Linked DNA regions of Saccharomyces cerevisiae S288C. The protein of the gene in region 1 purifies or fractionates together with the protein of each later gene. This does not show direct contact. Each region holds a gene or a part of one and is shown in the gene's direction. Other genes may lie near its edges. The genes, in order: HAP1 and SRO9.

The links.
Region 2: the proteins of HAP1 (region 1) and SRO9 purify together in Saccharomyces cerevisiae (affinity purification with western blotting; 2 studies listed by BioGRID). This does not show direct contact.

What each region holds. Positions count from the first base shown.
Region 1 is NC_001144.5:639,927-658,992, forward strand, and holds HAP1 (Hap1p), read left to right. Parts: upstream 1-6,488; coding exon 6,489-10,997; downstream 10,998-19,066. Other genes in the region: nucleobindin SSP120, read left to right, coding at 391-1,095; SYM1 (ethanol metabolism protein), read left to right, coding at 1,538-2,131; CQD2 (Cqd2p), read left to right, coding at 2,701-4,410; NDL1 (Ndl1p), read right to left, coding at 4,478-5,047; YLR255C (uncharacterized protein), read right to left, coding at 5,674-6,027; YLR256W-A (gag protein), read left to right, coding at 11,191-12,513; YLR257W (uncharacterized protein), read left to right, coding at 18,900-19,066. UniProt on the Saccharomyces cerevisiae protein: Regulation of oxygen dependent gene expression. It modulates the expression of Iso-1 (CYP1) and Iso-2 (CYP3) cytochrome c.
Region 2 is NC_001135.5:50,364-61,476, reverse strand, and holds SRO9 (Sro9p), read left to right. Parts: upstream 1-2,798; coding exon 2,799-4,103; downstream 4,104-11,113. Other genes in the region: dithiol glutaredoxin GRX1, read left to right, coding at 304-636; GFD2 (Gfd2p), read right to left, coding at 751-2,451; ATG22 (Atg22p), read left to right, coding at 4,950-6,536; glucose-induced degradation complex subunit GID7, read right to left, coding at 6,595-8,832; GLK1 (glucokinase), read right to left, coding at 9,137-10,639; YCL042W (uncharacterized protein), read right to left, coding at 10,534-10,893. UniProt on the Saccharomyces cerevisiae protein: May overlap in function with tropomyosin and may be involved in organization of actin filaments. Acts as a multicopy suppressor of RHO3 mutation. RNA-binding protein which may modulate mRNA translation.

The sequences.
Region 1 (19,066 bases):
CTGCTTTCACAGTTTTCTTTAAGATTTTTATTGATCAATAATTTATGTATATTTTAATTTCTATGTTTTTGTAATATTGTTTATTTTGGTAAAATATAGACGCAACTTCCTTATTATAAAGAAAGGCATTATTTAAAAGAAAAAGCGTTCCATTAGTCAGACATCTTTTTTTTTCATACATTCTTAAGCTCAGGCAAATTGAGCATTGCCTCATACCCTTTTCGGTAAGAGGGTAACGAAAATATTTTTTTGGAAGAATAAAAATAGGTGACGGATCATAGACTAGGAAGCTTTAAAACATGATTGAGCGTAATATTATATTCCTTCTAGAAAAGATAAAAGAGCCAAGACCTAAAATTTTTTCATCCCTGTTCTATTAAAATTGTGGAAATGAGGTTTTTGAGGGGATTTGTATTTTCTTTGGCTTTCACTCTATATAAAGTAACTGCCACGGCAGAAATAGGATCTGAAATTAATGTGGAAAATGAGGCACCACCTGATGGTTTATCCTGGGAGGAGTGGCATATGGACCATGAGCATCAGCTAAAAGATTACACTCCAGAGACTTTCTTCGCGTTACATGATATCAAGAAGAAAGGATTTTTAGATGAAAACGATATTCTATCTCTCTACGGGTTGAACCGTGAAGAAATTGTGGGGGCTGGTGATGGTATGGGACAACACGATGAATCTGAGAAAATTGACAATGAAATGGCTAAGCGTGTTGTTAGCCTTATTATGAGGTTATTGGATGTTGATGATAATACCAAAATCACCAAGGAGGAATATCTACAATTTGCTAAGAGAGGAAACAAGTTCCCTGACCTTGGCGTTGGTGTAGGTCACCACTCCGATTTTGAGCTAGAATATGAAATTCATCACTGGAATAAGTTTCATAAGGACAAAGATCCAGACGTTAAAGTCGTTCACAAAGAAGACATAGAACATGAATTGCTTCATCATGAACATGAAATTGAACATGAAGAAGAAATTCAAAGAGGCGCTTCTAGAGCTACTGTAATAACTGATGACGAACTAGAGTCTAGAATAGAGCTGAAAAATATTCCCGAGAAATTCAAAAATGGAATTTTTTAATGGACTTGGTCAAGATGAATAGTTGAGACTGAGAAAATATTCAAGACACTATGTATGTAGTCAATTAGCATGTAGTAAGTAATCAAAGCACTTAAAATATATTTTTACCATCGCATCGTTGTGATGCCTCTCCTTTGTGATTAACTATCTACTTTAAACGTTCTATTTTCTATGTTCTAATTACGTATGTATTGGTCTTTTCTCTCCGATGGTAACAAGAAGCGTTTCGGGAAACAGTGGCACCTCCTTGTCCCTTAAATGTCGAACTTTAACAGTATAAGTACAAAGTGAAAAAAAAAAAAAAATGGAAATATCTATGATAGTGATATGATAGAAGAGCTATTTGAATGCTATGTTGTCATATTTAGCCTTACAAAAGGGAAAAGGCAAACACAGTCTTTTGTTATTACTATAGGAAAGATAGAATTGATATTAAAACAGTATGAAGTTATTGCATTTATATGAAGCGAGCTTGAAGAGAAGGCCCAAAACTACGAATGCGATAATGACAGGTGCGCTATTTGGAATTGGTGATGTTTCTGCTCAATTGTTGTTTCCAACATCCAAAGTAAACAAGGGTTATGATTATAAAAGGACAGCTAGGGCTGTCATCTATGGTTCTTTAATTTTCTCCTTTATAGGTGACAAGTGGTACAAGATCTTGAACAACAAGATTTATATGCGTAACAGACCTCAGTACCACTGGTCTAATATGGTTTTACGGGTAGCTGTCGATCAATTGGCGTTTGCGCCGCTAGGTTTGCCATTTTATTTCACCTGTATGTCCATCATGGAAGGTAGATCATTTGACGTAGCTAAGTTGAAAATAAAAGAGCAATGGTGGCCTACACTTTTGACTAATTGGGCAGTTTGGCCACTTTTCCAAGCGATTAACTTTTCTGTTGTTCCTTTACAACATAGGTTACTAGCTGTTAATGTCGTTGCAATATTTTGGAACACTTACTTATCTTATAAAAACTCAAAGGTTATGGAGAAAGACAAGGTACCTGTTCATTATCCACCCGTGGTCGAATAACTGGATAAGAAATCCTGATTTTGAAAATATTTGGAATTCAACTAGCATATTTATCAGACCTTGTTCCTTGGGGTACTGGAACAGCATATACCTAATAGACTTTCGGCAGAGAGCAGACCAACTTCATAAATATTTGAGTCACCAAAGTTGGCTAGCAATCTGCTTTTCCTTTACAGATGTGCTTGGTCAGGAACAATTTATTTAATTACATTCGTACTTCTTTTATAGAGGAAATAGTAGCTAACATTTCACTATTGCGGTCATGCCTGTTGTTCTTCAGCTACCGTTTATGCAAAGGTGTTTAATTAGGTGTGAGACTTAAGTGGGCCTTTTAGTACCACTGTGGGTTCTGGACCTTTATATAATATTTCATTTTTTCAAAGGTTTTTTCATATGCCGTTAAAAGAGGTCAAAACATAGACCCGAGGAACATATCTTGTAAATCGCTGCGTTATGTATGCATATTGTACTCCTACCTTCGTAACTGGAAAGAATCAGTCTGAAAGTTTATTGAGCCTGAAACGGAGCAAGATTATAGTTGAATGTTTCTTATTCGGTGTTGATAGTAGATGATGACCAAAGCTTTTTTTAACAAACTACCGTTTGAGGTATTCCGTCGGTACGTTAGGACAGGTAAAAGCATCCCTCAAAGAAGCCCCAGGACAAGAAAATCTCTTCTGGTGGGTGGGACTATTGCATCAGCAGTAGTTTTGTACAACTTTAATGACACTTTTCATGATTCTGTAAAGCACACGGCACTGACGACTAAAAGAATCGCTGTCGTCACACAAGCTACCACTCGTTGCTTCTACCATTACAAGAGGGCTCTAAATAAAAGCTATGAGAACAAAAAAGAACGAGAAGTTGCCTTAAATAAATGTCATAAGATGTGTGCCTTAATCACGTTGCATGCGCTACGATCGAATGGTGGGATATATATCAAATTAGGCCAGCACATTGGGGCCATGACCTACCTGTTGCCTAAAGAATGGACGGATACAATGATACCGTTGCAAGACCACTGTCCCGAATCCACCTACGAAGAAATTGATGAGTTATTTAAAGAAGATCTAGGCACCAGCATTGAGGATATGTTTTTAGAATTCAACAAAACCCCGATAGGTGTAGCTTCCTTGGCACAGGTTCATGTGGCAAAACTAAAAAATAGTGACGGTAAAGGTTCTAGTGTAGCTGTCAAATGTCAGCATCCATCGTTGAAGGAGTTTATACCATTAGATGTTATGCTGACAAGAACAGTGTTTGAACTGCTGGATGTCTTCTTCCCTGATTATCCGTTAACGTGGCTTGGTGATGAGCTTCAGTCTTCAATCTACGTGGAACTGAATTTTACCAAAGAAGCTGAAAATGCAGAAAAAACCCGTCATTATTTTAGTAAGTTCAAGAAGCAAACAGCATTGAAAATACCCAAGGTCATTGAAAGCCACAAAAGAATTTTGATTATGGAATATGTTGGAGGCAAAAGGTTGGATGATTTGGAGTACATTGACAGTCACGGTATCTCGCGCAGTGAAGTTTCGAGTTGTCTCTCTCATATTTTCAATAACATGATTTTTACTCCCAATGTAGGTATTCATTGTGATCCTCATGGAGGAAATCTGGCCATACGATCTGTTAAGCCCGCTAAAGATAATGGATACCATAACTTTGAAATTGTTTTATTTGACCACGGACTCTATAGATATCCTAGCACGAGAACAAGAAGACTTTATGCCAAATTTTGGTTGTCGCTCCTATTCGACAAGGACCAGACAAAAATGAAGAAGTATGCCAAAGGATTCGCAAACATCACCGACGAACAGTTTCCCCTTTTAGCGGCTGCAATTACGGGCCGTAGCATTGATGCTGCTTTGAATTACGACATTTCAACGAGTCGAACACAAGAAGAAATGGACGTCATGGCAAATGGGATCTTGGAAGGAACGTTACTGAGCGACTTGATGAGCATTTTGTCTAGAATCCCTCGTGTAGTGCTTTTGATATTGAAGACTAACGACCTAACCAGACATCTTGATGAATGTCTACAGAATCCACTCGGGCCAGAGAGGACTTTCCTGATCATGACGCAATACTGCGCCAAGACGGTCTACGACGAAAAAGTGGAAAGAATTAATTCGGAGTATGCGAGGTGGTCTATTAAATGGATGTGGGAGAACTTGACAAACTGGATAGTCTATGAGAGGCGTATTAATCAATTGTATTTTTATGATTTTGTGTTGTGGTGGAAAAAATTTATTCCGAAGACTTGGTTGTCATCTTAAATCGTTAGCGTTCTTTCTACTTGTAAATATATACGTAAAATTATATATAACAATTTTATATGTGTCATTAAACGGAAGACGTTGTTGCTATCACAGTGGATTGTGTTATTTGGGTATTTGGAATATTACAGTGACTTCTTGCAGCGTTGTTAGTTTTTGCCATGTTCTGCAAGTACAAGGTTGAAGATGTGGTCGAGACTTTGATAGTATCCTTAAACAACTTCATTTTTTTATTTTGACTGGGTAACGACCTGGTGTTCCTTCTAGTCTCACCGCTAGTGGCTTCTTCTTTGCTGACTCTTAACTTTTGCAGCGCCTCTTTGGTGTCGAGTAACTCGTGTTCCAGTAGAACGTTGCGTTCCAGTCGTCGGTCACTCTCCAATTGTAATGTCTCTATCTTATTCCTCAGTTGGATATTTTCATTTTCCAACTCATCTACCTGTATCTCTAAATCTGTTATCTGTTTCTTATTGCACTTATTTTGTTGTTGGCTCTCAAGAAGATCGCTTTTTAACTTTGATATTACTTGTTCCAAATCATTTTCATATTCTTTCGTGGCGCCTTCAAGCTCGCTCAACTGGGTCTCCAGTGAGGAGATTATCTGTATAGCTGTTTCCAAATCCAAATTCGGCACCATAGGAAAGTCGCAATTGTTGCACGTATATGTCCCTTGGATATTCCAATTAAATTTGCGAGGATTGTTCTTTCGGCCGTTCGTGGTTTGTTGTAGCCCTTATTATCCCTCTTTTTCATCCTTAATTGCAAATTTATGTATGAAAACTTTCATTTCTAATGTTATTAATTTTCCCGATTCTGCAAACTAATTGATAAAATAATTGATACTTGCCGTCACAGATGATATAGAGAACGTTCAGTTTTTTTATTGTTCTATTGTAAAAAAAAAAAAAAAAGGAAGAAAAAAGCAAGATCCGATAGGAGAAGACCTCTTTAGCGGCTTTACTGCGCTACAAATAAGGTTACGAATATGCGGAATAGTTCATGATACGTTGTTGAGTTATAGTATGTAGCCAATATTTCCTGTTTTTCCGCTGTTACCCTTTTCGAAGGATCGATGAACGCTTCTGTCACTTAGTAAGCAAATGTACGAAACCCAGAGCATTGTATGTACACCAGCAGTCGTTTTTTGTAGCTCTTTTCCATGGATGGACGATGATGGCAAGACGCGATCGTGGCGGAGCCTCACTAAGAAAAACAATTGTGGAGAATCTATACACACAGAAATCGTACTTCAAGAAATATTGATTAGCGAGCCTTTAAGCACAGAACAATCTCTATAGCCAACATCTTGTGGAAGCTACAACTGTTTTTCTTGTTCCCGCTTGAGTAGGGCCTTACAAGGCAAGACCGTATAAAATAAAGATAACTCCTCCGCCGTATCCTGAATTTCGTGTGCCCTTTCTCTCTCTCTCTCTTCCTCTTTCTTCCTTTCCCTTTCCCTCTTCTTCTTATCTCAACAACCGCCCAGCGCATTAGCAAACCACAGTACGAGCTGTACGGCTGAGCCACTGCACCTGTCTGGCTTGCCCCTTTTTGTTGAGTAACCGGGTAATAATTCGGCTGTCTAAACGATACAATCCTCGTTCCACCCACACCCATTCACCCGTCGGGCGAAATCCACCCTCGCGGCCTCGTTTAGAATACCAGGCAACGGCACCAGCAACGGCCCCGGTAACTCGATCGCGTTCATATATATCGGATATACTCTTGAGGCACAATTTTTTTCGGTTTTCGGTTTTTTCTATTATTCTTCGAGATGCAAAGCACACATTTGAGACTCACAACTCAAGATACCGCAAGCACACAGACGCTATTGTTCTCCCAAAGAATAGGTTCCTGCAGTGCTCTTTTAAGGTTTGAAGATATTGCACAAAATTGTATCTGATTTCATCTCATCGAACCTCATTCCATCAACTTCCTTTTATCAAAGCATCTTGTTTTGTTTTCGCAGAAAATTTTTCTTCCCTTTCAATTTGGCCTTTTAGTTTTTCTCCAGTCGCAGGCAAGAAGGTAAGGAAATAGAAGAAAAAGAAAAAAAAAAAAAGGGAACAATAGGTTAGATGTCGAATACCCCTTATAATTCATCTGTGCCTTCCATTGCATCCATGACCCAGTCTTCGGTCTCAAGAAGTCCTAACATGCATACAGCAACTACGCCCGGTGCCAACACCAGCTCTAACTCTCCACCCTTGCACATGTCTTCAGATTCGTCCAAGATCAAGAGGAAGCGTAACAGAATTCCGCTCAGTTGCACCATTTGTCGGAAAAGGAAAGTCAAATGTGACAAACTCAGACCACACTGCCAGCAGTGCACTAAAACTGGGGTAGCCCATCTCTGCCACTACATGGAACAGACCTGGGCAGAAGAGGCAGAGAAAGAATTGCTGAAGGACAACGAATTAAAGAAGCTTAGGGAGCGCGTAAAATCTTTAGAAAAGACTCTTTCTAAGGTGCACTCTTCTCCTTCGTCTAACTCCTTGAAAAGTTACAACACTCCCGAGAGCAGCAACCTGTTTATGGGTAGCGATGAACACACCACCCTTGTTAATGCAAATACAGGCTCTGCTTCCTCTGCCTCGCATATGCATCAGCAACAACAGCAACAGCAGCAACAGGAACAACAACAAGACTTTTCCAGAAGTGCGAACGCCAACGCGAATTCCTCGTCCCTTTCTATCTCAAATAAATATGACAACGATGAGCTGGACTTAACTAAGGACTTTGATCTTTTGCATATCAAAAGTAACGGAACCATCCACTTAGGTGCCACCCACTGGTTGTCTATCATGAAAGGTGACCCGTACCTAAAACTTTTGTGGGGTCATATCTTCGCTATGAGGGAAAAGTTAAATGAATGGTACTACCAAAAAAATTCGTACTCTAAGCTGAAGTCAAGCAAATGTCCCATCAATCACGCGCAAGCGCCGCCTTCTGCCGCTGCCGCCGCTACCAGAAAATGTCCTGTTGATCACTCCGCGTTTTCGTCTGGCATGGTGGCCCCAAAGGAGGAGACTCCTCTTCCTAGGAAATGTCCAGTTGACCACACCATGTTCTCTTCGGGAATGATTCCTCCCAGAGAGGACACTTCGTCCCAGAAGAGGTGTCCCGTTGACCACACCATGTATTCCGCAGGAATGATGCCGCCCAAGGACGAGACACCTTCCCCATTTTCCACTAAAGCTATGATAGACCATAACAAGCATACAATGAATCCGCCTCAGTCAAAATGTCCTGTGGACCATAGAAACTATATGAAGGATTATCCCTCTGACATGGCAAATTCTTCTTCGAACCCGGCAAGTCGTTGCCCCATTGACCATTCAAGCATGAAAAATACAGCGGCCTTACCAGCTTCAACGCACAATACCATCCCACACCACCAACCACAGTCCGGATCTCATGCTCGTTCGCATCCCGCACAAAGCAGGAAACATGATTCCTACATGACAGAATCTGAAGTCCTCGCAACACTTTGTGAGATGTTGCCACCAAAGCGCGTCATCGCATTATTCATCGAGAAATTCTTCAAACATTTATACCCTGCCATTCCAATCTTAGATGAACAGAATTTCAAAAATCACGTGAATCAAATGCTTTCGTTGTCTTCGATGAATCCCACAGTTAACAACTTTGGTATGAGCATGCCATCTTCATCTACACTAGAGAACCAACCCATAACACAAATCAATCTTCCAAAACTTTCCGATTCTTGTAACTTAGGTATTCTGATAATAATCTTGAGATTGACATGGCTATCCATACCTTCTAATTCCTGCGAAGTCGACCTGGGAGAAGAAAGTGGCTCATTTTTAGTGCCCAACGAATCTAGCAATATGTCTGCATCTGCATTGACCTCGATGGCTAAAGAAGAATCACTTCTGCTAAAGCATGAGACACCGGTCGAGGCACTGGAGCTATGTCAAAAATACTTGATTAAATTCGATGAACTTTCTAGTATTTCCAATAACAACGTTAATTTAACCACGGTGCAGTTTGCCATTTTTTACAACTTCTATATGAAAAGTGCCTCTAATGATTTGACTACCTTGACAAATACCAACAACACTGGCATGGCCAATCCTGGTCACGATTCCGAGTCTCACCAGATCCTATTGTCCAATATTACTCAAATGGCCTTTAGTTGTGGGTTACACAGAGACCCTGATAATTTTCCTCAATTAAACGCTACCATTCCAGCAACCAGCCAGGACGTGTCTAACAACGGGAGCAAAAAGGCAAACCCTAGCACCAATCCAACTTTGAATAACAACATGTCTGCTGCCACTACCAACAGCAGTAGCAGATCTGGCAGTGCTGATTCAAGAAGTGGTTCTAACCCTGTGAACAAGAAGGAAAATCAGGTTAGTATCGAAAGATTTAAACACACTTGGAGGAAAATTTGGTATTACATTGTTAGCATGGATGTTAACCAATCTCTTTCCCTGGGGAGCCCTCGACTACTAAGAAATCTGAGGGATTTCAGCGATACAAAGCTACCAAGTGCGTCAAGGATTGATTATGTTCGCGATATCAAAGAGTTAATCATTGTGAAGAATTTTACTCTTTTTTTCCAAATTGATTTGTGTATTATTGCTGTATTAAATCACATTTTGAATGTTTCTTTAGCAAGAAGCGTGAGAAAATTTGAACTGGATTCATTGATTAATTTATTGAAAAATCTGACCTATGGTACTGAGAATGTCAATGATGTAGTGAGCTCCTTGATCAACAAAGGGTTATTACCAACTTCGGAAGGTGGTTCTGTAGATTCAAATAATGATGAAATTTACGGTCTACCGAAACTACCCGATATTCTAAACCATGGTCAACATAACCAAAACTTGTATGCTGATGGAAGAAATACTTCTAGTAGTGATATAGATAAGAAATTGGACCTTCCTCACGAATCTACAACGAGAGCTCTATTCTTTTCCAAGCATATGACAATTAGAATGTTGCTGTACTTATTGAACTACATTTTGTTTACTCATTATGAACCAATGGGCAGTGAAGATCCTGGTACTAATATCCTAGCTAAGGAGTACGCTCAAGAGGCATTAAATTTTGCCATGGATGGCTACAGAAACTGCATGATTTTCTTCAACAATATCAGAAACACCAATTCACTATTCGATTACATGAATGTTATCTTGTCTTACCCTTGTTTGGACATTGGACATCGTTCTTTACAATTTATCGTTTGTTTGATCCTGAGAGCTAAATGTGGCCCATTGACTGGTATGCGTGAATCATCGATCATTACTAATGGTACATCAAGTGGATTTAATAGTTCGGTAGAAGATGAGGACGTCAAAGTTAAACAAGAATCTTCTGATGAATTGAAAAAAGACGATTTCATGAAAGATGTAAATTTGGATTCAGGCGATTCATTAGCAGAGATTCTAATGTCAAGAATGCTGCTATTTCAAAAACTAACAAAACAACTATCAAAGAAGTACAACTACGCTATTCGTATGAACAAATCCACTGGATTCTTTGTCTCTTTACTAGATACACCTTCAAAGAAATCAGACTCGAAATCGGGTGGTAGTTCATTCATGTTGGGTAATTGGAAACATCCAAAGGTTTCAAACATGAGCGGATTTCTTGCTGGTGACAAAGACCAATTACAGAAATGCCCCGTGTACCAAGATGCGCTGGGGTTTGTTAGTCCAACCGGTGCTAATGAAGGTTCTGCTCCGATGCAAGGCATGTCCTTACAGGGCTCTACTGCTAGGATGGGAGGGACCCAGTTGCCACCAATTAGATCATACAAACCTATCACGTACACAAGTAGTAATCTACGTCGTATGAATGAAACGGGTGAGGCAGAAGCTAAGAGAAGAAGATTTAATGATGGCTATATTGATAATAATAGTAACAACGATATACCTAGAGGAATCAGCCCAAAACCTTCAAATGGGCTATCATCGGTGCAGCCACTATTATCGTCATTTTCCATGAACCAGCTAAACGGGGGTACCATTCCAACGGTTCCATCGTTAACCAACATTACTTCACAAATGGGAGCTTTACCATCTTTAGATAGGATCACCACTAATCAAATAAATTTGCCAGACCCATCTAGAGATGAAGCATTTGACAACTCCATCAAGCAAATGACGCCTATGACAAGTGCATTCATGAATGCTAATACTACAATTCCAAGTTCAACTTTAAACGGGAATATGAACATGAATGGAGCTGGAACTGCGAATACAGATACAAGTGCCAACGGCAGTGCTTTATCGACACTGACAAGCCCACAAGGCTCAGACTTAGCATCCAATTCTGCTACACAGTATAAACCTGACTTAGAAGACTTTTTGATGCAAAATTCTAACTTTAATGGGCTAATGATAAATCCTTCCAGTCTGGTAGAAGTTGTTGGTGGATACAACGATCCTAATAACCTTGGAAGAAATGACGCGGTTGATTTTCTACCCGTTGATAATGTTGAAATTGATGGTGTTGGAATAAAAATCAACTATCATCTACTAACTAGTATTTACGTTACTAGTATATTATCATATACGGTGTTAGAAGATGACGCAAATGATGAGAAATAGTCATCTAAATTAGTGGAAGCTGAAACGCAAGGATTGATAATGTAATAGGATCAATGAATATTAACATATAAAACGATGATAATAATATTTATAGAATTGTGTAGAATTGCAGATTCCCTTTTATGGATTCCTAAATCCTCGAGGAGAACTTCTAGTATATTCTGTATACCTAATATTATAGCCTTTATCAACAATGGAATCCCAACAATTATCTCAACACCCACACATTTCTCATGGTAGCGCCTGTGCTTCGGTTACTTCTAAGGAAGTCCACACAAATCAAGATCCGTTAGACGTTTCAGCTTCCAAAACAGAAGAATGTGAGAAGGCTTCCACTAAGGCTAACTCTCAACAGACAACAACACCTGCTTCATCAGCTGTTCCAGAGAACCCCCATCATGCCTCTCCTCAACCTGCTTCAGTACCACCTCCACAGAATGGGCCGTACCCACAGCAGTGCATGATGACCCAAAACCAAGCCAATCCATCTGGTTGGTCATTTTACGGACACCCATCTATGATTCCGTATACACCTTATCAAATGTCGCCTATGTACTTTCCACCTGGGCCACAATCACAGTTTCCGCAGTATCCATCATCAGTTGGAACGCCTCTGAGCACTCCATCACCTGAGTCAGGTAATACATTTACTGATTCATCCTCAGCGGACTCTGATATGACATCCACTAAAAAATATGTCAGACCACCACCAATGTTAACCTCACCTAATGACTTTCCAAATTGGGTTAAAACATACATCAAATTTTTACAAAACTCGAATCTCGGTGGTATTATTCCGACAGTAAACGGAAAACCCGTACGTCAGATCACTGATGATGAACTCACCTTCTTGTATAACACTTTTCAAATATTTGCTCCCTCTCAATTCCTACCTACCTGGGTCAAAGACATCCTATCCGTTGATTATACGGATATCATGAAAATTCTTTCCAAAAGTATTGAAAAAATGCAATCTGATACCCAAGAGGCAAACGACATTGTGACCCTGGCAAATTTGCAATATAATGGCAGTACACCTGCAGATGCATTTGAAACAAAAGTCACAAACATTATCGACAGACTGAACAATAATGGCATTCATATCAATAACAAGGTCGCATGCCAATTAATTATGAGAGGTCTATCTGGCGAATATAAATTTTTACGCTACACACGTCATCGACATCTAAATATGACAGTCGCTGAACTGTTCTTAGATATCCATGCTATTTATGAAGAACAACAGGGATCGAGAAACAGCAAACCTAATTACAGGAGAAATCTGAGTGATGAGAAGAATGATTCTCGCAGCTATACGAATACAACCAAACCCAAAGTTATAGCTCGGAATCCTCAAAAAACAAATAATTCGAAATCGAAAACAGCCAGGGCTCACAATGTATCCACATCTAATAACTCTCCCAGCACGGACAACGATTCCATCAGTAAATCAACTACTGAACCGATTCAATTGAACAATAAGCACGACCTTCACCTTAGGCCAGGAACTTACTGAATCTACGGTAAATCACACTAATCATTCTGATGATGAACTCCCTGGACACCTCCTTCTCGATTCAGGAGCATCACGAACCCTTATAAGATCTGCTCACCACATACACTCAGCATCATCTAATCCTGACATAAACGTAGTTGATGCTCAAAAAAGAAATATACCAATTAACGCTATTGGTGACCTACAATTTCACTTCCAGGACAACACCAAAACATCAATAAAGGTATTGCACACTCCTAACATAGCCTATGACTTACTCAGTTTGAATGAATTGGCTGCAGTAGATATCACAGCATGCTTTACCAAAAACGTCTTAGAACGGTCTGACGGCACTGTACTTGCACCTATCGTAAAATATGGAGACTTTTACTGGGTATCTAAAAAGTACTTGCTTCCATCAAATATCTCCGTACCCACCATCAATAATGTCCATACAAGTGAAAGTACACGCAAATATCCTTATCCTTTCATTCATCGAATGCTTGCGCATGCCAATGCACAGACAATTCGATACTCACTTAAAAATAACACCATCACGTATTTTAACGAATCAGATGTCGACTGGTCTAGTGCTATTGACTATCAATGTCCTGATTGTTTAATCGGCAAAAGCACCAAACACAGACATATCAAAGGTTCACGACTAAAATACCAAAATTCATACGAACCCTTTCAATACCTACATACTGACATATTTGGTCCAGTTCACAACCTACCAAATAGTGCACCATCCTATTTCATCTCATTTACTGATGAGACAACAAAATTCCGTTGGGTTTATCCATTACACGACCGTCGCGAGGACTCTATCCTCGATGTTTTTACTACGATACTAGCTTTTATTAAAAACCAGTTTCAGGCCAGTGTCTTAGTTATACAAATGGACCGTGGTTCTGAGTATACTAACAGAACTCTCCATAAATTCCTTGAAAAAAAAATGGTATAACTCCATGCTATACAACCACAGCGGATTCCCGAGCACATGGAGTCGCTGAACGGCTAAACCGTACCTTATTAGATGACTGCCGTACTCAACTGCAATGTAGTGGTTTACCGAACCATTTATGGTTCTCTGCAATCGAATTTTCTACTATTGTGAGAAATTCACTAGCTTCACCTAAAAGCAAAAAATCTGCAAGACAACATGCTGGCTTGGCAGGACTTGATATCAGTACTTTGTTACCTTTCGGTCAACCTGTTATCGTCAATGATCACAACCCTAACTCCAAAATACATCCTCGTGGCATCCCAGGCTACGCTCTACATCCGTCTCGAAACTCTTATGGATATATCATCTATCTTCCGTCCTTAAAGAAGACAGTAGATACAACTAACTATGTTATTCTTCAGGGCAAGGAATCCAGATTAGATCAATTCAATTACGACGCACTCACTTTCGATGAAGACTTAAACCGTTTAACTGCTTCATATCATTCGTTCATTGCGTCAAATGAGATCCAAGAATCCAATGATCTTAACATAGAATCTGACCATGACTTCCAATCCGACATTGAACTACATCCTGAGCAACCGAGAAATGTCCTTTCAAAAGCTGTGAGTCCAACCGATTCCACACCTCCGTCAACTCATACTGAAGATTCGAAACGTGTTTCTAAAACCAATATTCGCGCACCCAGAGAAGTTGACCCCAACATATCTGAATCTAATATTCTTCCATCAAAGAAGAGATCTAGCACCCCCCAAATTTCCAATATCGAGAGTACCGGTTCGGGTGGTATGCATAAATTAAATGTTCCTTTACTTGCTCCCATGTCCCAATCTAACACACATGAGTCGTCGCACGCCAGTAAATCTAAAGATTTCAGACACTCAGACTCGTACAGTGAAAATGAGACTAATCATACAAACGTACCAATATCCAGTACGGGTGGTACCAACAACAAAACTGTTCCGCAGATAAGTGACCAAGAGACTGAGAAAAGGATTATACACCGTTCACCTTCAATCGATGCTTCTCCACCGGAAAATAATTCATCGCACAATATTGTTCCTATCAAAACGCCAACTACTGTTTCTGAACAGAATACCGAGGAATCTATCATCGCTGATCTCCCACTCCCTGATCTACCTCCAGAATCTCCTACCGAATTCCCTGACCCATTTAAAGAACTCCCACCGATAAATTCTCGTCAAACTAATTCCAGTTTGGGTGGTATTGGTGACTCTAATGCCTATACTACTATCAACAGTAAGAAAAGATCATTAGAAGATAATGAAACTGAAATTAAGGTATCACGAGACACATGGAATACTAAGAATATGCGTAGTTTAGAACCTCCGAGATCGAAGAAACGAATTCACCTGATTGCAGCTGTAAAAGCAGTAAAATCAATCAAACCAATACGGACAACCTTACGATACGATGAGGCAATCACCTATAATAAAGATATTAAAGAAAAAGAAAAATATATCGAGGCATACCACAAAGAAGTCAATCAACTGTTGAAGATGAAAACTTGGGACACTGACGAATATTATGACAGAAAAGAAATAGACCCTAAAAGAGTAATAAACTCAATGTTTATCTTCAACAAGAAACGTGACGGTACTCATAAAGCTAGATTTGTTGCAAGAGGTGATATTCAGCATCCTGACACTTACGACTCAGGCATGCAATCCAATACCGTACATCACTATGCATTAATGACATCCCTGTCACTTGCATTAGACAATAACTACTATATTACACAATTAGACATATCTTCGGCATATTTGTATGCAGACATCAAAGAAGAATTATACATAAGACCTCCACCACATTTAGGAATGAATGATAAGTTGATACGTTTGAAGAAATCACTTTATGGATTGAAACAAAGTGGAGCGAACTGGTACGAAACTATCAAATCATACCTGATACAACAATGTGGTATGGAAGAAGTTCGTGGATGGTCATGCGTATTTAAAAACAGTCAAGTGACAATTTGTTTATTCGTAGATGATATGGTATTGTTTAGCAAAAATCTAAATTCAAACAAAAGAATTATAGAGAAGCTTAAGATGCAATACGACACCAAGATTATAAATCTAGGCGAAAGTGATGAGGAAATTCAATATGACATACTTGGCTTAGAAATCAAATATCAAAGAGGTAAATACATGAAATTAGGTATGGAAAACTCATTAACTGAGAAAATACCCAAATTAAACGTACCTTTGAATCCAAAAGGAAGAAAACTTAGCGCTCCAGGTCAACCAGGTCTTTATATAGACCAGGATGAACTAGAAATAGATGAAGATGAATACAAAGAGAAGGTACATGAAATGCAAAAGTTGATTGGTCTAGCTTCATATGTTGGATATAAATTTAGATTTGACTTACTATACTACATCAACACACTTGCTCAACATATACTATTCCCCTCTAGGCAAGTTTTAGACATGACATATGAGTTAATACAATTCATGTGGGACACTAGAGATAAACAATTAATATGGCACAAAAACAAACCTACCAAGCCAGATAATAAACTAGTCGCAATAAGCGATGCTTCATATGGTAACCAACCATATTACAAGTCACAAATTGGTAACATTTTCCTACTCAACGGAAAAGTGATTGGAGGAAAGTCGACAAAGGCTTCGTTAACATGCACTTCAACTACAGAAGCAGAAATACACGCAGTCAGTGAAGCTATACCGCTATTGAATAACCTCAGTCACCTTGTGCAAGAACTTAACAAGAAACCAATTATTAAAGGCTTACTTACTGATAGTAGATCAACGATCAGTATAATTAAGTCTACAAATGAAGAGAAATTTAGAAACAGATTTTTTGGCACAAAGGCAATGAGACTTAGAGATGAAGTATCAGGTAATAATTTATACGTATACTACATCGAGACCAAGAAGAACATTGCTGATGTGATGACAAAACCTCTTCCGATAAAAACATTTAAACTATTAACAAACAAATGGATTCATTAGATCTATTACATTATGGGTGGTATGTTGGAATAAAAATCAACTATCATCTACTAACTAGTATTTACGTTACTAGTATATTATCATATACGGTGTTAGAAGATGACGCAAATGATGAGAAATAGTCATCTAAATTAGTGGAAGCTGAAACGCAAGGATTGATAATGTAATAGGATCAATGAATATTAACATATAAAACGATGATAATAATATTTATAGAATTGTGTAGAATTGCAGATTCCCTTTTATGGATTCCTAAATCCTCGAGGAGAACTTCTAGTATATTCTGTATACCTAATATTATAGCCTTTATCAACAATGGAATCCCAACAATTATCTAATTACCCACAAATTTCTCAGATGGACTAGTAGATTTTTATAGAGCAGATTTTCCAATATGGGAGTGATGCGGTTTGTTTATGTATAAATAGAAAGGGACATATTTTTATTATTATTATTTTAGTTATTTAGCATGTATGTTATTTTATCGGTGAATTGTAATGATCGAATAATAATTGGAGGTTGAAGAAGTTGCAAAAAATATTTACTTGGACGAGTCCGGAATCGAACCGGAGACCTCTCCCATGCTAAGGGAGCGCGCTACCGACTACGCCACACGCCCAATTTTCTTGTTGTCTGTTGTGTTTCAGAATGGGGTACGTCAGTATGATAATAATCATCCTAAACGTTCTTAAATTACATATGAAACAACCTTATAGCAAAACGAACAGAATGAGCAACATGAGATGAAACTCCGCCTCCTTAACTGAACTTTCCAAACGTATAAACGCCTGAAAAATTAGTTTAGATCCGAGATTCCGCGCTTCCACCATCAAGTATGATCCATATTTTATATAATATATAAGATAAGTAACATTCCGTAAGCTGATAATCCCTTTTGGCAACTCGTTACTTCCCAAAGACTGTTTATATTAGGATTGTCAAGGGACCCCGGTATTGCTCGAGCCCGTAATACAACAGTTGTCTTTCACTGCTCTCTATGTTTTGAGACCTCCAGTTCACCACATATATTCGATCTTTTTCTTACTGTTGAAGCAAGAATCTGTTGGAATGAAGGCCTAGTATTGTCTATTGACTAATATTCATCTTACTAGTATATTATCATATACAGTGTAAGAAGATGGCATAAAGATTGAGAACCAGTCATCAGACTAATGAAAGCTGAAATGCAAGGACTGATAATGTAATGGGATAATGAAATATATAAAACGGAAGGAGAAATAACCGTGATATTATTATGTAGATTTACCGACTCCACTTGGAGGATTTCTCTATTCTCGAGGGAAACTTGGTATATTCGTACACCTAATATTATAGCTCTTGATAACAATGAAATTTCAACAATTATTCACTCAACCCTCAAGTGTATATCGCCAAGATCCTAATCACCCCTCTCTGGTGGCCTTCCCTCATTGTTTTTACACAGAACAAGAATCCATAAAATCAAGATATTGGGAACAATTCATTGTCTTAGGAACAAGTTTTTATAATTTAGTTTCATTAGCCTATTGTAACTTCTTGTTTTTTTTTTTTATTTTGGCTGGCAAAACAAGAAGTATAAAGAAGTTACCACTGCTATAACGTATATCTTAAATCAAGTGGGCAATTCTTCGAATAAACTTAGAGGCGCTGAAGAAAGAACCGCTCAATTAGTTCGATCATACAAAATACAGATATTGCGCTGTGTATTATCATTACGGAAAGTGTGATATAAACAATGCTGTGTTGTATTCGGTCTTTTTTTTCCGCCTGGAGATTGTCGTTTTTGTTTTTTTTTCTCGTGTAGCTGCAGTTATCATCGTTTTGCATGTCTGTTCTGTCGGTGAAGCCGATCTCATGGCACTTCGCTTTGATACCGTAAAGAATCTTCTTCATTAATACGGCACTGCAAGGCGATATCTATCTCTGGGGTTAGGACTGATAAATAGGTACTTATCAGTTATCACTAGAGACGAACTGTTTACGTTTTGAAGCTCGACAGCAGGGGTTCTTAACGGGCGTCGGCCTAGACCTCACCTTGCGAGAAATTTTTAGTTCATATCCAGGGGATGGTGAATGGTTGGATCTGACGAAGCCACGGTAAGGGCAAGGCTTTGCGCATGCACTGGCCACTATGCATACCATATATAAATAGATAATCAAGCGTATAGAAAACGACATGCTAAGTTATTTTACTCAGTGTTAGGTCTCTTAGTATTTGCGTCTGAAAAGATCTTAGCTCTGTCTTTGACTCTATCACTTATTTTTAAGAGGTTCTCTATTCGTCAGTGATAGAAATAGCATTTTGACCCGCACGACATTGGTTAATAAGAGTACTTTTCCACGTGTTTCGATTGCCTTTATTTTTAGCATACTTGAAAATAATATTATCGTGAGATTTAGGTAAAATATACCACATATCAAGAGAAAGAGAAGTAAGAATGGTTGACGCTAGGGGTAGTACGCCATGTTTAATTGGTGATTCTATAAGAAACGTTAATGATGGAAATAGTCTGGATTTCCAGTATACTAATCAGTTTAATGAGGAAAGTGAGGCTTCGAGGTTACTAACGCCACAAACGAGTTCCAATCACGCCCTAAGCAAGAT
Region 2 (11,113 bases), on another chromosome or scaffold:
CCATCATCTATAAAACATGAACTTCATGCACAAGTGAGCTGTCTACAGATAACGAGCAGCCGCAACGGCGTTTCCAGATTGCGATGCTTGTTTTCTTTATCTACTACTGCCTTACTACCCCCCTTGCGCCTCCTGATTCACGTGATGTGGGAATTTTGTCTTGAAAGGAGTAAATATATAAAATAAATGAAAAGTTTATATAATATAAAAAGGGACTTTAGCATAAAATAAAGAACTTCGTGCAGTACTTATACGAGCATTCGCATAATTATACAAATAGACAAAACCTCAGAAGGAAAAAAAATGGTATCTCAAGAAACTATCAAGCACGTCAAGGACCTTATTGCAGAAAACGAGATCTTCGTCGCATCCAAAACGTACTGTCCATACTGCCATGCAGCCCTAAACACGCTTTTTGAAAAGTTAAAGGTTCCCAGGTCCAAAGTTCTGGTTTTGCAATTGAATGACATGAAGGAAGGCGCAGACATTCAGGCTGCGTTATATGAGATTAATGGCCAAAGAACCGTGCCAAACATCTATATTAATGGTAAACATATTGGAGGCAACGACGACTTGCAGGAATTGAGGGAGACTGGTGAATTGGAGGAATTGTTAGAACCTATTCTTGCAAATTAAGGGCAGACAAAGTTTTTTCCATGCACACAGGTTTATAATGAGCTTATATATATGTATATGTATATGTATACAAGCATGTGTTTGTATTTACAGGAAAAAAATCGATGAATATATTTAGTGTGTCGGAAGAGTGCTTGTGAAGGCGTCTTTAGCAGTTCCGAAATACGTTAACCCACCGAATTCCGTTTGGCAGACTCTTTCCTTCCTACTGCTCTTGACGCCCTTGCGGTACGTCCGATTTTTGACTGCCTCCTCGATGGAGATGGCATACGACATGGGCACCACTTTAGGCTCTCGTACGTCTCGTTCTCCCCAAACTTTTACTTGGCCCATTACTTTAAGAACATCGTCCATGCCGCTTATTTTCCTGAAATTAACATCGCAAAACTTCATGAACAAATGCAGGGTATAGTAGGCATCGTTACCGGCATTGTGTAGAAACGCATGCGGTATCTCGAACAACCGCAGAATCTTGCCCAGACTGCTGCCCTTTTCGCCATACGATTTCCTGTAAAACTGCTCAGTGTCCAAGATGAACACGTCTAGATCACCGGGAGTTTCAGCCAAAAGCAGCGTATGGTCCAGATGGCCTTCATACCCTCTGCCAGGGAATTTGACACCAATAGTCTCCAGCCACTTAAGATCCCCGCTCACGTGATGACCAACAAATGCCCTTGACCATGTCTTGTCTTCTTCGGTCACCGGGACCAAGTAATAGTTTATTAGTGATTGAATGAAATGCACGCACTCTTTCAAGCTCAAAACATAGCTTTCTCCCAATAAGTAGCAATCCTTGTAGTCACAGACCCATTTTTGGTTTCTAAGTTCCAGGGACTCCTCGATAATTAGGTGGTAATTCTTTGTAATTGGAACCATTGACGGCACCATATTTTCCCTGGGGTCATAAATTGAAATCCCAATTTCGGTGATTACGTTCTGGTTTGTTTCGAAAGCCTCTATATCAAGACAAAAGCATATTGCTCTCTGAGAGGCCATCAGCCTGATGCATTTCTCCAGATAAGCAAATTCATTCGAGCGTGAATGTGCTTCCACCATGGGCCAGAACGTCTTCCTCACGCTGTTTTTCTCGTCAGCCAGTAGTTTCTGTTCTGTCTCTAGGAGCTTGATGGTACCATTCATTCCTAACATTTTCTTCTGAATGGCTTCGAACCAAGCGGTGTCGCTCATTCCTTTGGGCTGCGGACAGATACAGTTGGCTCGGTCCTCTTTGGTCAATGGAGACAGCCGCTGTGATCTTTTGGACCTGGGTGGTACGATCGTGTCGCTTAATCTTTTCAAAAACCGGCGTTCTTCCACGAGTTTTTCCAGTTTTGCATGCACATCACCATGTACCATATGCCATTCACTGTCCACCTGCGCCAGTTTGGCTTCCAATTGCGCCCTGGATTGTCCATAGGAGGCATCAAACTTCTGCCTCATCTCCGCCACATATGCATCGATCATGGGCTTCCTTAGTTGGTCCAATTCCTTAGAAAACGCGGTCTTTCTCAACTGTACATAGTAATCTATCTGGTCCAGCCAATTGCACTTAGCACGGTCCCAGGGCGTATTCAATTGGGTCCTGGCATCCAGAAACGCCTCCACACAGCCCGCGATCTTGCCGCTTCCTGTTCGGTCCTTCACTAATCCTCTGACAGAGAGCGTCCCATTACTTAGTTTTGTTGCCAAAGCACCGGTATTACCGCTTCTGGAACGATAACGGGGGCCTGCGCCGTTATTATTCCTCCTCTCCCAATGGACGCTTTTATCGCTACCGTTATTACTGTTATCTCTCACCATTTTTTGAACCTGCATGTGGATCTGGACTCTCGAGCAAGACCCAAGTTCTCATTGCCTCCTTTCCTTCTTCCCTTCTTATATGTTGTCTTGTTGAACCTCAAAACACTAGCGGATAATACGGATTTTGAGGGATGCTCATCGCAAATTTTTCAGAAATGGTGCACGGATGTACCCACGCAATGAAAAATTTTTTTCACTTCTGGTAGGTCAAGAACAAAGAAAGAAAAGTACAAGTGTAAACATTTCTTAACATCTTTTTCGGTTTTATGAAGATCTTTTGGGATCCTAGATCGGTAATAGAACATCAGGATTACTCTGGACCTGCTAACGTGTTTCATCTTCTTTTCACTTCTCTGCCCACGATGTCTGCTGAAACCGCCGCCGCAAACACTGCTACTGCCCCAGTCCCAGAAGTGCAAGAACAAGAGAGCTCCAAGAGCAAGCAAGTCAACTTGACGCCGGCACCATTGCCCACATCTTCCCCATGGAAACTTGCTCCTACTGAGATCCCTGTTTCTACTATCTCAATAGAAGACTTGGATGCCACAAGAAAGAAGAAGAACAGAACACCCACTCCGAAATCATCGACTGCTACCAAGTGGGTTCCCATCAAGGCCTCCATTACCGTCTCTGGCACCAAAAGATCCGGTTCCAAGAATGGTGCAAGTAATGGCAACAGCAACAAGAGCAAAAACAACAAAACTGCAGCATCGTCGACATCGTCGAGTAATGCTAACAGGAAAAAGAAGCATCACCAACATAATGCTAAGAAGCAACAACAAATGAAGAAAGATGGCTTTGAATCGGCAGTAGGTGAGGAAGATTCAAAAGACGCTACCTCTCAAGAAAATGGTCAATCTACACAACAGCAACAACCACCTCACCACCGTAATCATCACCACAGTCATCACCATAACAGCAATGGTCCTCAAAGGAGAAAGTTCCACAACAGTAATAACGCCGGTATGCCTCAGAACCAAGGCTTCCCACCACAGTTTAAACCTTACCAAGGACGCAACGCTCGTAATAACAACAACAACCGCTCTAAATACCACAACCACTTCCATCACAACCAACAACATCCTCAACAACCTATGGTCAAATTACAGCAACAGTTTTATCCAGTCCAACCAGTGTTAATGGCCATCAACAACATTGCTAGACAAATTGAATACTATTTCAGCGAAGAAAACTTGACCGTCGACAATTACTTAAGGTCCAAACTCTCCAAGGATGGTTTTGCTCCATTGTCTTTAATCTCTAAGTTTTACAGAGTTGTTAACATGTCCTTCGGAGGTGACACTAACCTGATTTTAGCCGCATTGAGAGAAATTGTCGCTAACGAAGCCGCTACCGTCAATGTTGCAGAAGGTACTTTGGCCGCCAAGGAAGGTGATAACGTTACCGGTGAAGCCAAAGAACCATCTCCATTGGATAAGTACTTCGTTCGTTCCAAGAGCTGGTCAAACTGGTTACCAGAAACTTTTGAAACTGAAATTAATATTGAAAAAGAACTGGTCGGCGATGCATTGGACCAATTCATGATATCCCTACCACCTGTTCCTCAACAAGAAGAGGAATCATCCACTGAACTCGCTTCTCAAGAACAAGAAACCAAAGAAGACTCTGCGCCGGTTGCTGCCGGTGAATCCGAGTCTTCCTTATAAAGGCCTCTCACACTTGCAAAATAAAAAATGGATTCGTTCATTGCATTTTACACAAAAAACCATAAAAAATTGAAAAACCTAATAATTAAAAAAATTAAAAGTTAATCATCCTCCAGCAAAGCTGTTTTTTTTTTGTTTTTTTTTTTTTTTTTGTTTTTTTATCCATTTTTTTCATTTGTTCCATCAGTTTAATACGAAAGAGAAAATAAAAATAAAAACTTTGAACAATTTTCATGTTTTGAATTCATTGTACATTATCATCATAAGCAATAAGATACAAATATTTATGTTTTTTTTTTTTTGTTTTTTTTTTTTTTTAAGATATAAAAATACTAGCCTCTTCTCACTTCGTTTTCTCTCTGTCTAAGTGGCTACCATCATGAGATATGATATTCTTTCTTCTCCCTGCGCAATTCTTAAACCACCTGCTTTTTTTATTCAATTTTTTGCTAATTTAATAATTGGGAAGAAGATATGAAAAATGCCTATTTTACTCTAAGCAATTCATATGTAAAAAATTTTATGTATAGTTTTTTTTTTCTCTTTTGTGCTGTCAAATTCCTTTTTATTGTCATCTAAGACCATGCTTTAGCTTCTGTCATGTATAATGCAACGTGTCTTAGATTATTAATTGTTGTATTGTGCGGCATTGATAGCGCCGCTCAACAATTTTAGGAAATTGCTAAAATTAATTCCTTAAAACGGTATTTTCCTAAACGAAAATACCTCAGCTATTGAAAGATGCGTAGTGTAAACAAAAGGAAAGATTTCAAACTGTACCTATATTACCACGGTTTTTGCCCTTATAAGCAATAGTTTGCTCATAACATATTCTCTACATTAGATATGAGCTATGGAACTATAAATGATATGAATGAATCGGTAACGAACTATCGAATAAAAAAAGCCCAAAACAATATCAAGGGATGGTACGCTTACTCATTTTCTAGCGAACCATTTGTCGTTTCTGCGGTTTCAACGTATATTCCCTTACTACTGCAGCAATTTGCGAGTATAAATGGTGTAAAAGTTCACGATCACTCCATACCCTGCCTGTCAGAAACGGGTAGTGATTCAGATAAGTGTGTTCTTGGTTTGTTCAACAATCGGATCTTCGTAGATACTTCAAGTTTTGCATTATATGTCTTTTCCCTTAGCGTTTTATTCCAAACTATAATAGTCATTTCCGTTTCAGGGATAGTAGATCTCTGGGGGAGCGTTAAATTCAAAGGCAGAATTCTGGTTTGGTTTGGTATTGTGGGCGCATTGTCGACTGTTGCGATTTCAAAATTGAATGATACCCAGATTTATTCTCTGGCTGGGCTTTATATAGTGGCCAATGGTTGTTTTGGCGTTATCAATGTTGTTGGGAATTCTCTTCTGCCCATTTTTGTCAAGGATTCTTTGAAATGTCAAAGTCAAGGAGCTTATGAACCTGATAAGGTAGACTCGTTAACTACTGTTATTAGCGGTAGAGGTGCATCTTTAGGTTATTCAAGTGCCCTCATTGTTCAGATTGTATCTATGTTCTTAGTCGCATCTAAAAAGGGCAGTAAGCAGGATGTTCAAGTGGCTGTTCTTTTCGTTGGGATTTGGTGGTTTGTGTGGCAACTGCCCATGATCTGGTTGATTGACGATGTGACAATACCGATAAGAGTTGACGATTCTACATTAGCATCCGCCCGCAGTCCGTATCCCGGTGAGCAAGACGCCTTGGGTCAACTAAACTGGAAGAATTACCTTTCATATGGTTGGGTTTCGCTTTTCGAATCGTTTAAACATGCCAGACTATTGAAAGATGTGATGATTTTTCTTATTGCGTGGTTTATTATTAGTGATTCCATTACAACTATAAATTCTACAGCGGTTTTGTTCTCCAAGGCAGAACTGCACATGAGTACCCTCAATTTAATCATGATAAGTGTTTTGACCGTTGTAAATGCAATGCTGGGTGCCTTTATGATTCCACAATTTCTTGCCACAAAGTTTCGGTGGACTTCTAGTCAAACTTTGATGTACATTATCATTTGGGCAAGTTTCATACCATTTTATGGTATTCTTGGATTTTTCTTCAATGCGTTCGGTTTAAAGCATAAGTTTGAAATGTTCTTATTGGCCATTTGGTATGGATTATCACTAGGTGGCCTGTCCGCGGTTTCAAGATCAGTTTTCAGTTTGATTGTACCTCCAGGAAAAGAATCCACGTTTTTTAGTATGTTCAGTATCACAGATAAGGGGTCGTCCATCCTGGGACCCTTCCTTGTTGGACTGCTTACCGATAAAACGCATAATATTCGCTATTCGTTTTATTTCTTCTTTTTGCTTTTGATGCTATCATTGCCTGTGCTAAACTGTTTGGATGTCAAGAGAGGTAGAAGAGAGGCTGAAGAACTCAGTCAAGTTTTACCTGAAAGTGAAAGAAGGTTGGATTAGTTCTTTTTTTTTTTTTGTTACATAAAACTTTGCTTACGTATATATATAAGGTGGAGTATTAATTTCTTGAAATTTTCCAGATTTTTATCTTACCGTCATCACCGCCAGAAGCAAACATTTCTTTATCTGCAGGGTTTGATGCAACTACGTTACAATTTTTCCCCATGGGTTTTGTGGAATTACTCATTACCGTGGAATGACCGGATAAAACAGATACTAGGTTACCTCTAATTCTATCCCAAATGTAAATTTTACCATCTTCTGATCCGCTCATGACAAGCTTATTACCGTAGGCGAAGCAAGATCTGATAATAAAGTGCTGTTGCTTCTGTCCAAAGTACTTTTGTATGAGAATATTTTCTTTATAGTCCCACATTTGTAATTCGTTATCTTGAAGGCTAACTAATACCAAATGTTGAGACTCGGATATTTGTTGCCTATGGAAGCCTTGATGCGTGGTATTTAGCGGTAATGAGATACAAGTCATGTTTTTGCCCACGTCCAATCTTGCGATCCTTGGAATCAGAAAGTTTTTGGGATCCACTGTTTGCTTAGATAGCTCCTCTTTGGAGGGGAACCCACTGAAATCGTAGACATCTATAACGCCCTGGTGGGTCATTAAAAGCACGTATTTATCGTCATAGCTGATTTTCACGTCGTGCACACGTGGAAAGGTTTCGTCGTCCTCCACATATTGCCAGTTACCATTGCTACTTGTTGGTTTGTAAAGGACTTTTGCAGGATCGATTGATTTTCTCCCAGAGATGTTTTCATCGTGGCCCAACGCGATACAAGTCCTGCCTTTTAAGCTAAAAAGTGACTCTTTCGTGGTGAGTGAGTGTACAATAGCTTCTCTGTCGGGCGATCCAACCACCATCCAGCCCGCACGTTCCGCAGTGTGGAAGGCATCGCAGCACCATACTCTTGATTGATTAGAATTCGCGTTTGCCGGCCTCGAGGAAGATGATGCTGATGATTCGGTATCATCTGGGTACGTGGTGGTGTCCAGTTTAAACGAGTCCATGGGCGAGAGCCTGGTAGAAGGGTATAGTAGGAACGAGTCTGTGGCAGACGCATCGGGCAGGGAGGTGGCATTCATGTCGTAAATGGTAACATCTTCGCTGAAAGGGCAAGCAACCAGATACCGGCTATCAGGAGAAAACATGAGGTACAATACGGATTGTGACAAGCTCACGCAAGTCTTATAAATTTTGAAGTCTTGTTCCACATCATAAACAGTAATGAAGTAGCCTCTTGAAGACTCGGAAGTCGCAGAAGCCAAATACTTGCCATTGGGCGAAAATGTCAAAAACCAAATTTCGTCTGTGGTGTCTTGGATAGTCTTCCATTCTTGAAAGGTCACAGTCAGATCGTGTGAGAAGTTATCCTGCAAAAGGTTGATCCGGTGGGGTGGAGAGGAGAAAGAGGCGTCATCATCCGGATCGATGATATTAAAAATGTCTTGTGATTGTTGATACTTGATGGCCTGTTTCAAGAGATGCAAGAGACGACCCTTGGGAACGAGTTCGTTCGGATCGATATATTTGGAGATGGCGTCAATCAGATGGTCTCGCTCGAGGTTCAACTGCGCGGTTAGTTTTGGGTTGGTCAGGTACGTCGACAGTTCTCTCAAGGTCGTTTCCGGATTGAAGATGTTTTCTTCATTTAGGAACTGATCGTTAGACACCAGCAGGGAATCCCATATCTCGATGAAGTTTTTGAGGATTTTGCGCAAATACAGGACGGGCAGTGCAGTGTGAGGGCCCTTGTGAGAGGCGGAATTTGTGACTGGATGGAAGAATTCGAGGAATATTTGTCTATTAACTAGAATCATGATCTCTACGTAATTTCTGAGCGTGGCGATCTCTGCGTCCGAACAAGTAGATGAATTTACAGAGCTCATCAGCTGTTGCAGGTATTGCAGTTGCAGGAGCATGTGGTCGAAAAGTGAAGTCGTGGCGGGCGTCGGCGTGGGAATGAGCAGCCTTTGAAGCCATTCGGACCTTAGCGGAGAGCTATGGGCAAGGGGCAGCGAGCAAACAATCTGCCAATTAATAAGATGGAATTGGCCGGTCTTGATGAGTTTGAAGAAAGTCTGGATGTGGTTAGACTCATTTTGATATCCGCCGCTCTCTAGCAGTAACTGGTTAGCGGCGGAGTCGTAGCCCAGCTCCTTTAGAGTATGTATCAGTAATTTAGTGAGCTGTTTCTTGTCAAAACAACCAACGGAAGAGGGCGAGGCTGTTTCCTCCGTGTCATTGTTCAACACGTATGCGATCTTATTAGTGTGTGACATTTTATTAGTTGAAGTAGTACGCCCCCTTGGAAGTGTTTTTCATATTTGACTTCCAAAAATGATAAAGGAAGACCTAGCAAGGCATTTATTGTTCTTCATTTTCCCTTAAAAACCAAAGGCCCGTTTCCGATGATATTGTTCATTAATGTGAGAAAATCATACATACATACATACGTTCTTATACGGTATTGTATAAGAATGTATGTATATACACTGAAAATATACATATATATATATATATATAAAGGAGAGAAGATGGTAAGTACGGTGGGATACGTACACAAACCAAAAAAATGTAAAAAGATCATGCTACAAGCGCACACAAGGCGGCACCCACTCCGGAACCATCCTTGGCAATCTTCAAGTGCACCTTCCTCTCACCCTCGGCACCCAAGGGTGACAAGGCTAAGGCGTGTCTCAGCATAGATCTGAAACCGGGGTAGTATTCCACAACGGAACCATCACAACCGATCTCGACTTCACCATGATATCTCTTGTTCAAAGCATTTGTCTTGATCAATATCGCGGCAAGCGGCACGGCGGCTAAATACGCAGATCTCCTAGAAATCGCGCGCACCAATTTTTGAATTTGAACACGCTCTGTTGGAGTGGTGGGCAGTCTGAGACTCTGTAATAATGACAACTCTGTTTCACGTAGACCTGTCGAGTCGTCAATTTCAATATGCGACAGCACTTCGGATGACAACTGGAAAGGTGTAGTCAAGTGGCGAGGAAGTTGTTCCTTGGACCTGTACTGTTGCAAAAGCAAGCCTTGCGAGTGCAAGTCCACTAAAATGTTACGCAACACCTCACCCAAGAACATCCCTGAGACACGTTTTTCAAACAAGTGAAATCCCGGGTTCGTTGACAGTTTCTGGTCAATTACGACGTCATACTTAGTAGTAGGCAAGTGCTTGAGCTCATTATCGAAGGACCCCCATTCGACATTGATGATCATGTGTGTCTTACCCTCCTTTATCAACTTGTCACGCAACTCCTGTGGCAACTTCGTGATCTTGTTGATCTCCTCCATATAGCACCCATTGGTACCGGTACCGAAAATACATCCGATGACCGGCTCCGAGATTTCTCCGGACGTCATTGAGTCCGTGTTATCGGACGTGTAGCAATGCGATAGGTACGTTCCGACGGTGTCGTTGGTTAATGCAACAACCTTGATCATAGGCATACCCTGAGCGCTTAATTGCTCCTGGTACAATTGCACGACATCCTTTCCGACGGTGTCCGCGATGCGGAAACCCTTGGTCCAACGGATCAATGTCCCGGAGTTTAGAGAGGTCTGGTCTACAGGGTATGAGAAAGTGAACCCCAGTTTCATGGGCTTGGCGTCTTTACCCTTGGCCAACTCGTCCGGGTGATACTTCTTCATAAAGGCCAGTGTACGACGTGCTAGAAACCCAAACAGGTCGTCAGATGTGACGTTCTCATCGTCTAGCAAATCATCGGGAATCTTGGACTTCATTTGCTCCATGGAGAAAGTATGATCTCCATGCAAGTTAACAGAACATATACGGAAATTGGTACCACCCAGGTCGGCGGCTAGTAAAACACCGCGCTCCGTCCCGTTGGGTGACCCGGTGACGAACGCCGGAATCATAGGAAGACCTTTGTCCGAGGCCAATGTGTGGCCTTCCTTTGGTGGAGCTAGACCTTTTTCCATTTGTTCGATGAAGTAAGCAGTTAATTCGTCCAGCTTCTCGGGGGTAACCTCGAAATCGTCGCAGATCTGGTCCACGGCCTGGATGACCGCTCTCTCAGTGGCTTTGTGTAAGTCGTCGAATGACATCTTGTGTATGATAGAGTTGTATTAGTGGTGGTGTTGTGGTTTACGGAAGCTGAGTTGGGCACTGATGGGGGGGTTGGGGGTTCTGTTGATAGCGGATATTTATATGGGCGCGTTTTCATTAGTGCCCACCGTTTGAGCGTGGTGTGACACCACGCCCAAGATAGGGGGCCCCCTGAAAGGGGTTGACCGTCCGTCGGCACACCACTTATAATGCGGGGTGCAAGCGCCGCGTCTAAAATTTTTTTTTTTTCCATTTTTGTCGTTATTGTTATTTCCCGTTTTTTGTTTTTTTTGATTTTTTCGGAGCGACAAACCTTTCGAAACACGTGTCCTGAAAATTATCCTGGGCTGCACGTGATAATATGTTACCCTGTCGGGCGGCGCCTCTTTTTCCCTTTTCTCTCACTAGTCTCTTTTTCCAATTTGCCACCGTGTAGCATTTTGTTGTGCTGTTACAACCACAACAAAACGAAA